Canis lupus familiaris: one gene and its partner. The protein of the gene in region 1 purifies or fractionates together with the protein of each later gene. This does not show direct contact. Links are inferred from orthologs where the notes say so. Each region holds a gene or a part of one and is shown on either strand. Other genes may lie near its edges.

Region 1 (4,496 bases):
ATCCTCCTCCAATAGACTGTTCAACTGTGTTGCGGGGGTAGAAGTGCGGACTAAAAGAAGGTATATCTGCCCAGAACATTGACAGGGGAGCTGGATCATGTGAATTCTAATTATGGAAGGTAGCTCCAAAGAGAAGGCAGTTCTTGGACATAAGGGTCAGGGCTAGGAAGTCCAACCTCACCCAGTTTGGACTTGCCAATTGGATGCCAGGACTTGATCTAATTAAAAGGAGTTGATTGGTTTCCTGGCAGGTAGATATGACCACTCCCACTGTACCAAGAAGGAAACTGAGACTCCGAAAAAATTATAGATTGCCCAAAGTTACACACAATGTTAGAATCAGAGCTCTTTTCCATTGCATAGCGGTGGTAATAGCTTCCGCTTAATAATAGTAACGGCTGTAGGGGCACCTGTGTGGCTCAGGGGTTGAGCATCTGCCTTCGGCTCAGGTGGTGATCCCAGGGTCCTGGGACTGAGTCCCACATAGGACTCCCTGCAGGGAGCCTCCTTCTCCCTCTGCCTATGTCTCTGCCTCTCTGTGTCTCTCATGAATCAATATATAAAATATTTAATAATAATAATAACTTCTATGTATCAGGCACATGCTAAGAGCTTTACAGAGGGTTACTCCTTGAAACCCTCTCCCAAAGCACAGACTAGCATCTCCACCTGACCACTCAACAATTCTGCTGGGATGTCTAATGAGGGTGACACCTCCAAAATTGAACTTAGGACCTTTTCAAAAAAAAAAAAAAAAAAAAACACCTGCTCCACGGGCACCTGGGTGGCTCAGCGGTTGAGCATCTGCCTTCGACTCAGGTCACGATCTCAGCCCTCGCACGGGGCTCCTTGCTCAGCAGGGAGTCTGCTTCTCCCTCTGCCCCTCACCCCACTCATGCTCACTCTCAAATAAATTAAATATTTTTTTAAAAAAACAGCCCCCTCCCTTGCCTCCTTCAATCCACTCAGATCTCACGCTCTCATTGTTACCCACCCTACCTTCTGATTCTCCCTTATTCCCCGCTCGTTTTTCCTTTTTCATAGCATCCATCACCCTGTAACATACTATATACCCTTTTGTCTCTCTCCGCTAGATATTGGGCATTTTTGAGGACAACGATCCTTGTTCTGTCCTCTGATCTACATTCCGAGGGCCTAACACAGCGCCTGGCACCTATTCACACTGGTGACTGAAGAAGCCGCCGCACCCACACCTTCTGACGCGGTGAAGAAGTGCCTTTAAAACGCACTTTATCGTCCACTACCCCTTTGAAGTCTGGAAACTCTGGGTCCACCTGGCGGCCGCTGAGCAGTCGGAGCGGTTTCTTCTCTCATCGCCGTCTCAAGTTTGTCCGGAACTATTCAGCTCCGTCCTCACTTGAGTGCTCATCGGTCTGAAATCAAAGAGCACAAACTCAGAGCCGGAAACTGTGCCGTGAGAAGCATTACCGGTAGCCAATCGGCATAAAGATCTCGTTCACGTGGTGCATCTTCAGCCTATCGTGTTCTACTACTTTTCAACTCCCTCCCTTCCGCTCCCGGCTCCTTCTCTCTCGACAAGATGGCCACACCGGCAGCCCCGGCGAGTGCTCCTGCCGCCACCCCAGCCCCAGCCTCCGCCCCGGCCGCGGCCCCAACCTCGGTCTCAGCCCCGGCCGCAACCCCAGCTTCAGCGCCAGCGCCGGCTCCGGCTCCAGCGCCGGTCCCAGCTCCAACGCCGGCTCCAGCCTCTGCCTCAGACCCGGGGACTGCGGCGGCCACGACTGCGGCTCCGGGCCAGACCCCGGCGTCTACGCCAGCCCCAGCGCAGACTCCGGCGCAGTCACTGCCGGGTCCTGCTCTCCCAGGCCCCTTCCCCGGGGGCCGCGTGGTCCGGCTGCACCCGGTCATTTTGGCTTCCATCGTGGACAGCTACGAGCGACGCAACGAGGGCGCTGCCCGAGTTATCGGGACCCTGCTGGGTGAGTGGTCAAACCGCATTGACCCTCTCGCCTCCCGTTTATCCCATTGACCTCTTGACCTATTTCTGCATCCCGTCTTTCTGCCGCGACTTCCCTCCTTGAAGGAACTCGCACTTTCCTGCCAGGTTGCTGTCACTTTGGTCGACACAGAATACGTAAGCCGTAGTGCGTTACTGAATAAGTATCGTGTGCCGAATGATCGATCCCGGGTCCCCAGGATCACGCCCTGGGCTGAAGGCGGTGCCAAACCGCTGGGCCACCCGGGCTGCCCCTGGTTTTATGTTTTATTTTTAATCTCCCCGCTAGCATTTGAGGTCAAGTGTGATTAGTCCCAGACTGCCAAAAATGAGTTCAGATGCCGACGAGGAAGTCAGAAACGTTTGACTAAACGTTCGACTAAACGCTGCCCCCCACCCCCCCCGCCGCCTTCCACCCCCTTCCACGGTCTAAATGTCCTTATTTTCCAGGTGTTTACGAGGACGTTTTAAACCAGTTGGTAAAGAAGTAGGGACTTCTGTAAAAAGACATCCCTTTCAACAAGTTTGGCAGAAACCTATTTAGGTTTTTAATGATATTCTGCTTTTCTAAACATTTAATCCTGATCTTATGTTTTTTAATCTCCCTGATATGTTAATTTGTAAAGCTGAGAAGCTAAATAGGGATTACTGATAATAATGCCCTTTTCTCTTGGGAACTGCTGATCCCATCAAAGTCCTTTTCCTTCCATCCTTGTCACCAATTTTAGATCCCTTTGTAAATGGACTCTAGCCTCGTTTGTCATTTCTCTTATTCTTGAATATGTATGTAATAGTCTTTCTAGCATAGAAGACAACTGAATTGCAAAGGGGACAAGATTTGACGGTAGATTGCACCAAATATTAACCATGTGCCTTGGGATTCCTGGGTGGCTCAGTGGCTGGGTGCCTGCCTTTGGCCCAGGGCATGATCCTGGAGTCCCAGGATCAAGTCCCACATCGGGCTCCCTGTATGGAGCCTGCTTCTCTCTCTGCCTGTGTCTCTGCCTCTCTCTTTCTCTCTGTGTGTGTCTTTCATGAATAGATAAATAAAATCTTAAAAAAAAAAAAAAAAAAAAAAAAAAAAAAAACATGTGCCTTGAGACAAATTACCTGAAGTCTAGTTCTTTCGGGGCACTTAGACTTAGTCTTTGCAGAAACTAAACTATCACCAAAAGCATCTCACTGCTGGCAGACCATTAGGTACAAAACCGCGGTTGACTGCAGTCTTCCACCACATCAGGGCTACCCCCACACCCCCAATCCCTGCCTTGCAACACACACACATTTGCCCTCTCTTTGAAGATTTAGCATTTCACAGAACCTTCAGTTGATCCATTATCTTCCAAACATCAAGGTTTTTCTCAAACCAAGCCTTTGTATTCTGTTTGACATAAATGTCTTCCCTGCTCTCTCTCATTTAAGTTTCACTCATTTCCTGGGTTCCCAGGAAAAGTGTTAAGTGTCAGTTCTTTGTCTCACATTACCACCCTCACCTCCATTCTTAACCTCCAAAGTATAGTAGCATTCTGTAAATGTGTCCTGCTTTGAGCTTCTGAAATAAATGATTTTTGCAACAAAGGTTGGCACTTGACGAATACTAATCTATTTACTCTTTGAGCTGCACTGCCAAATTTTCCAAATCCACTGGAGCTATTTAAAGAAACCCAGGGAGAATGCTCAGAGCCCCCAGATACTCTAGTGACTCTAGTTAGACCAACTAGTCTAGCTCTTCAGATCCTCTTCCAGACTGGGATAATGGTATAATGCTCAGTGTTATAGAGACAGTACTTCACTGAAGAATTAAACACAGACTGCTCACGAGGAGCTTCTGAATATTCTCAGATGTTAATTCATGAAACATTTAATTTGGTTAAATGAAATGACTGGTACTGTTTAAATACCATAAAACTGTTACATATTTTGAATTCAAAGTTTGATAAAATAACTTCTGTTCTAACCTTAAATTCAAGATGAAGATATATGCAAATAATTAGAATACAATGTGATAAATGCTTTAACTGAAGGATATTGTGGCATGGAAATGCAGAAGACTTAAAACTGCTTCAGAAGTGTGAAATGGTCAAGTTTATTGAATTCCTGTTTAGAGGTCAAATAAGCATATTTATCCGCTGGGTTTGAAGACATAGTTTTAGCAAAGGGAGCAGAAACCATAGTGAAGTGGAATTAAACAGACACATGGGTGGCAGCATTGTGGTCTGTGGAGGAGGGGGAAGTGCTTGAAGCCTGGTATGGGTGGTGCCAGTAGATTAGAAAAACATGGAGAACTCAAGGGACTAGCAGTCTTAGGTCAAGAAACAAACTAAGTGGGAGTAAAGGTATCAGAACTAGAACAGAAATTTGTGGTAAAAGACTGATACTGATGTTTACAGTTCACAGGTAGAAGGTTTCTGGATGATGATGGGGTTAAGGACATGACCATTGGACTAGATGACTGAAGGGAGGTAAAGGTGAAGCTCCCTAAGATTGTACTCTGAGGCTAGGCTTCTGTTTGGGTGGC
Region 2 (3,810 bases), on another chromosome or scaffold:
GTCTGCTGCCTGTATGCGTATCCAACATTGCTTGGTCTGGCCCTCTGATATGATTATCTTGTGACTGGCATTCTGTCCCCACAGAGCAATTGGGTGCCACGCCGTGGGGACCAGGGTCCCAAGACCATTGACCAGATCCACAAGGAGGCTGAGATGGAGGAGCACTGGGAGCACGTAAAAGTGCAGCAGCTAATGGCCAAGGGCAGTGACAAGCGTCGGGGTGGCCCTCCAGGCCCACCCATTAGTGAGTTTGGGACTCCGGTTACGAGGGGGCAGAGTGAGGGGTTAAACTTTCCACTGATGACTTCTTGTTAGTGCCACGTGTCTGGGCCACTGAGACCACATGATGGAACTGAGGATCTGAGGAAGGGGGTCTGGGGGTAGCCCCAGGTGATCGGGGGGCTAGGAGTTACTCATTATTGTAATATACTCTTTGTCCCAGGTCGTGGCCTCCCACTTGTGGATGATGGTGGCTGGAACACAGTCCCCATCAGCAAGGGCAGCCGCCCTATCGACACCTCACGACTCACCAAGATCACGAAGGTAGGGGGGCGTATTGGAGGGTGTCACTACCTAGTGGTAGTGGTCATTGGAGGGAAAAGAGGGATCAGTTGGCATTGAACATAGATTTGGATCTTCATCTCCTTACTTCTGAGGTTGAAAAGGTGATGGCTTTCCTCTTGGACTAACTGGTTAGACTCCTAGAGACAGGACTGCCAGCTCAAGAAGATGTATTCACATCTGTCTGGGCCAGCAAACTCGCACAGCAGATCTGTCCCATTCCTTCTCTACATTCCACAGCTAAGAAGCGGCTTTTACAGTTTTAACAGTTGAAAAAAATAAAATGGATGATTTGAGTAATGAAATTACTCAAAATGTAAATTTCAGCATGCATAATTTTATTAGAAAACATGACCAAATTCATTCCCCTTAAGTATTGCGAGTGACTGTTTTTGTGCTACAGTGGCCATGTGGAATGGTTGAAATAGAAACTATATGATATGCAAAGCCTTAAGTATTTACTATTTGGCCTTTTAGAGGAAAAGTTTGCCTGGCTCCTGGTCTATGCCATTTGCTACTGTGTAGCTATGGGCTTTGGCCAGATCAGACTGATGCTCCACTCCACTCCCGTTTCCTTCCACAGCCTGGCTCCATTGATTCTAACAACCAGCTCTTTGCACCTGGAGGGCGATTGAGCTGGGGCAAGGGCAGCAGTGGAGGCTCAGGAGCCAAGCCCTCTGATGCAGGTACTTGAGGCCATCGTAAGGAGCTGGGGGCCTAGGAATCCTCTTATTTGAGGGCAGAGCCTTATTTGTAGGAGAGGCTTTTGTATAAAGTGGTTGGGTAATAACAGGAGGCTTATGCTTGGGACGAGGGGGACTGAATGAACTGTGTTCATGTTGGGAGTAGGACCAAGTGTCCTAAACTGGCGAGTAGGAGATGGAATGGAAGAAAGTAGGAAGAGATTTTGATGTGGGCTTTCTGCCTCCCCAGCATCAGAAGCTGCTCGTCCAGCTACTAGTACCTTGAACCGCTTCTCAGCCCTTCAACAAGCAGTACCTACAGAAAGCACAGACAGCAGACGTGTGGTACAGAGGTGAGGCTTCCCCTGCGAGTGTCTTTGTTTTTCACGTGGGGAGTACTGGGATTGGGCTTTGGTGGTTGCCATAGGAATCCTCACATCTGTAATGCTCATAGTCCATGGCTAGATGGGGGCACATTCCAGATTCCAGGAACTATGCCTGATGATTGCTGAGCTTGTTGGAAAGTTCTACAGGAGAGTGCCTAGGCAGTACAGGTGAGAGGTGACATGCCTGTTTTTTCTCCAGGAGTAGTTTGAGTCGGGAAAGAGGTGAGAAAGCTGGGGACCGGGGAGACCGCCTAGAGCGGAGTGAACGGGGAGGTGACCGTGGGGACCGCCTCGATCGCTCTCGGACACCTGCCACCAAGCGGAGCTTCAGCAAGGAAGTGGAGGAGCGAAGTAGAGAGCGGCCCTCCCAGCCTGAGGGACTGCGCAAGGCAGCTAGCCTCACAGAGGATCGGGACCGTGGGCGGGATGCCGGTAAGGGACCGGGAGAGGAAGGGAAAGGTAAGGTGTGGGTTTGGGACTAGCCAGCCTCCAGTCTTCAGAGCTCCAGGTCTTTCTTGCTAGGAAAATTGGAACTGAAGAGTCTCTGATCTGTTTCTCCCCCCTTCAGTGAAGCGAGAAGCCACCCTGCCCCCAGTGAGTCCCCCGAAAGCTGCGCTTTCTGAGGAAGAGCTGGAGAAGAAATCCAAGGCCATCATTGAGGAATATCTCCATCTCAATGATATGAAGGTAGGCAGTGGGAGGTGTCTCAGTGACAGCAGGGTGGCCAGGGAGGGACATGTGCTGACATGCATGGAGTGTGGGGTTAGGACCAGACAGTGACTGCCCTCTCCCTCCTGCCCACACTCCTGCAGGAGGCAGTGCAGTGTGTACAGGAGCTGGCCTCACCCTCCCTGCTCTTCATCTTTGTGCGACATGGCATTGAGTCAACACTGGAGCGCAGCACCATTGCTCGTGAGCATATGGGGCGGCTGCTGCACCAGCTGCTCTCTGCTGGGCACCTCTCCACTGCTCAGTACTACCAAGGGTATGTCTTCTGAGGGCCTTCTACTTTTACATCCCACAGACTTCCTTTCTTTGTGTAGGATCTGTGGAACCTTGGATGAGAGTATAGCCATCCCGGTTAGCATTACTTTTGGCAGGGGTAGAGTGTACCATGTAAGGACAAAAGTGTGGCCTTGGCTTGAGATAATTGCCCCATGTCTAGGAAGTGTTCTTGAGGGTCTCCACAGTGGATCCTTTAACAATGTCATCTTGCCCCAGAGGGATGGTGGGGGTCCAGCTTACCTTTCCTAGAATGTATGATTTCTTTCTCCTTAAAAGATTTATTTTTATTTGAGAGGGAGGGAGGGCAGGCAGGCAAGTGGAAGGAGGGGTAGAAGGGGAGAGAAACCTCAAGCAGACTCCCCACTGAGCATGGAGCTAGACAGGGCTCAATCCCAGGACCCCAAGATCATGACCTGAGCTGATTACCGAGAATCAGATATTCTGCTGACTGAGCTACCCAGGTGCCCCTAGAATGCCCTGACTTTGAATTCCATTTGCAGGCTGTATGAAATCTTAGAATTGGCTGAAGACATGGAAATTGACATCCCCCACGTGTGGCTCTACCTAGCAGAACTCATAACGCCCATTCTGCAGGAAGGTGGGGTACCTATGGGGGAGCTGTTCAGGTAAGCCCCCTTTGGGGATTCAGGGGAGGTAAAGACAAGAAGAAAGCTGGGGAGGGGGAGTACATATGGCAGGTTCAATGCCTGGATTTGGGGAGGGATGGGGCAGTGTACTGACTGAGTGAGCCATTAACACTCTGTAATTTCCTTTTTTTCTCTATAGGGAGATTACAAAACCTCTGAGACCCCTGGGCAAAGCTGCTTCTCTGTTGCTGGAGATCCTGGGGCTCCTATGCAAAAGTATGGTAAGTAAGAGCCTTTTGGGGGTGATGTGTAGAGACTTCTCTTCCGACCATGCTCTTTTGGCCAGTTGCTGTGACCCTGATGGCTCATGGTCCTTTGGTGGGATGGGGTTAATGGCGAGGGTGGTGCTGTGTTGGTACCTGAGAAAGGAAATGTCGAGGCTGGCGCTGGCACTCTCAGACCAGTTCCTGTCATGAGTTCTGGCTAAGACTGGAGGACAGTGACAGTCTGAGACCCTAAGCCCTTGATTGATTCTTTGATTCAATCAATCATTCATTCAACTAACATTTTTTTTTAAACATGTACCAA

Evidence for each region.
Region 2: the proteins of EIF3F (region 1) and EIF4G1 purify together in Homo sapiens (affinity purification with mass spectrometry; 3 studies listed by BioGRID, with this or other methods). This does not show direct contact. The link is inferred for Canis lupus familiaris from reciprocal best matches to the Homo sapiens genes EIF3F and EIF4G1.

The regions. Positions count from the first base shown.
Region 1 is NC_049242.1:32,120,481-32,124,976, forward strand, and holds the start of EIF3F (eukaryotic translation initiation factor 3 subunit F), read left to right. Parts: upstream 1-1,537; 5' UTR 1,538-1,561; coding exon 1,562-1,961; intron 1,962-4,496. UniProt on the Homo sapiens protein: Component of the eukaryotic translation initiation factor 3 (eIF-3) complex, which is required for several steps in the initiation of protein synthesis.
Region 2 is NC_049255.1:17,374,573-17,378,382, forward strand, and holds part of EIF4G1 (eukaryotic translation initiation factor 4 gamma 1), read left to right. Parts: intron 1-84; coding exon 85-244; intron 245-292; exon of another isoform or gene 293-368; intron 369-442; coding exon 443-543; intron 544-1,144; coding exon 1,145-1,247; intron 1,248-1,494; coding exon 1,495-1,597; intron 1,598-1,829; coding exon 1,830-2,089; intron 2,090-2,198; coding exon 2,199-2,317; intron 2,318-2,442; coding exon 2,443-2,615; intron 2,616-3,135; coding exon 3,136-3,261; intron 3,262-3,421; coding exon 3,422-3,503; intron 3,504-3,810.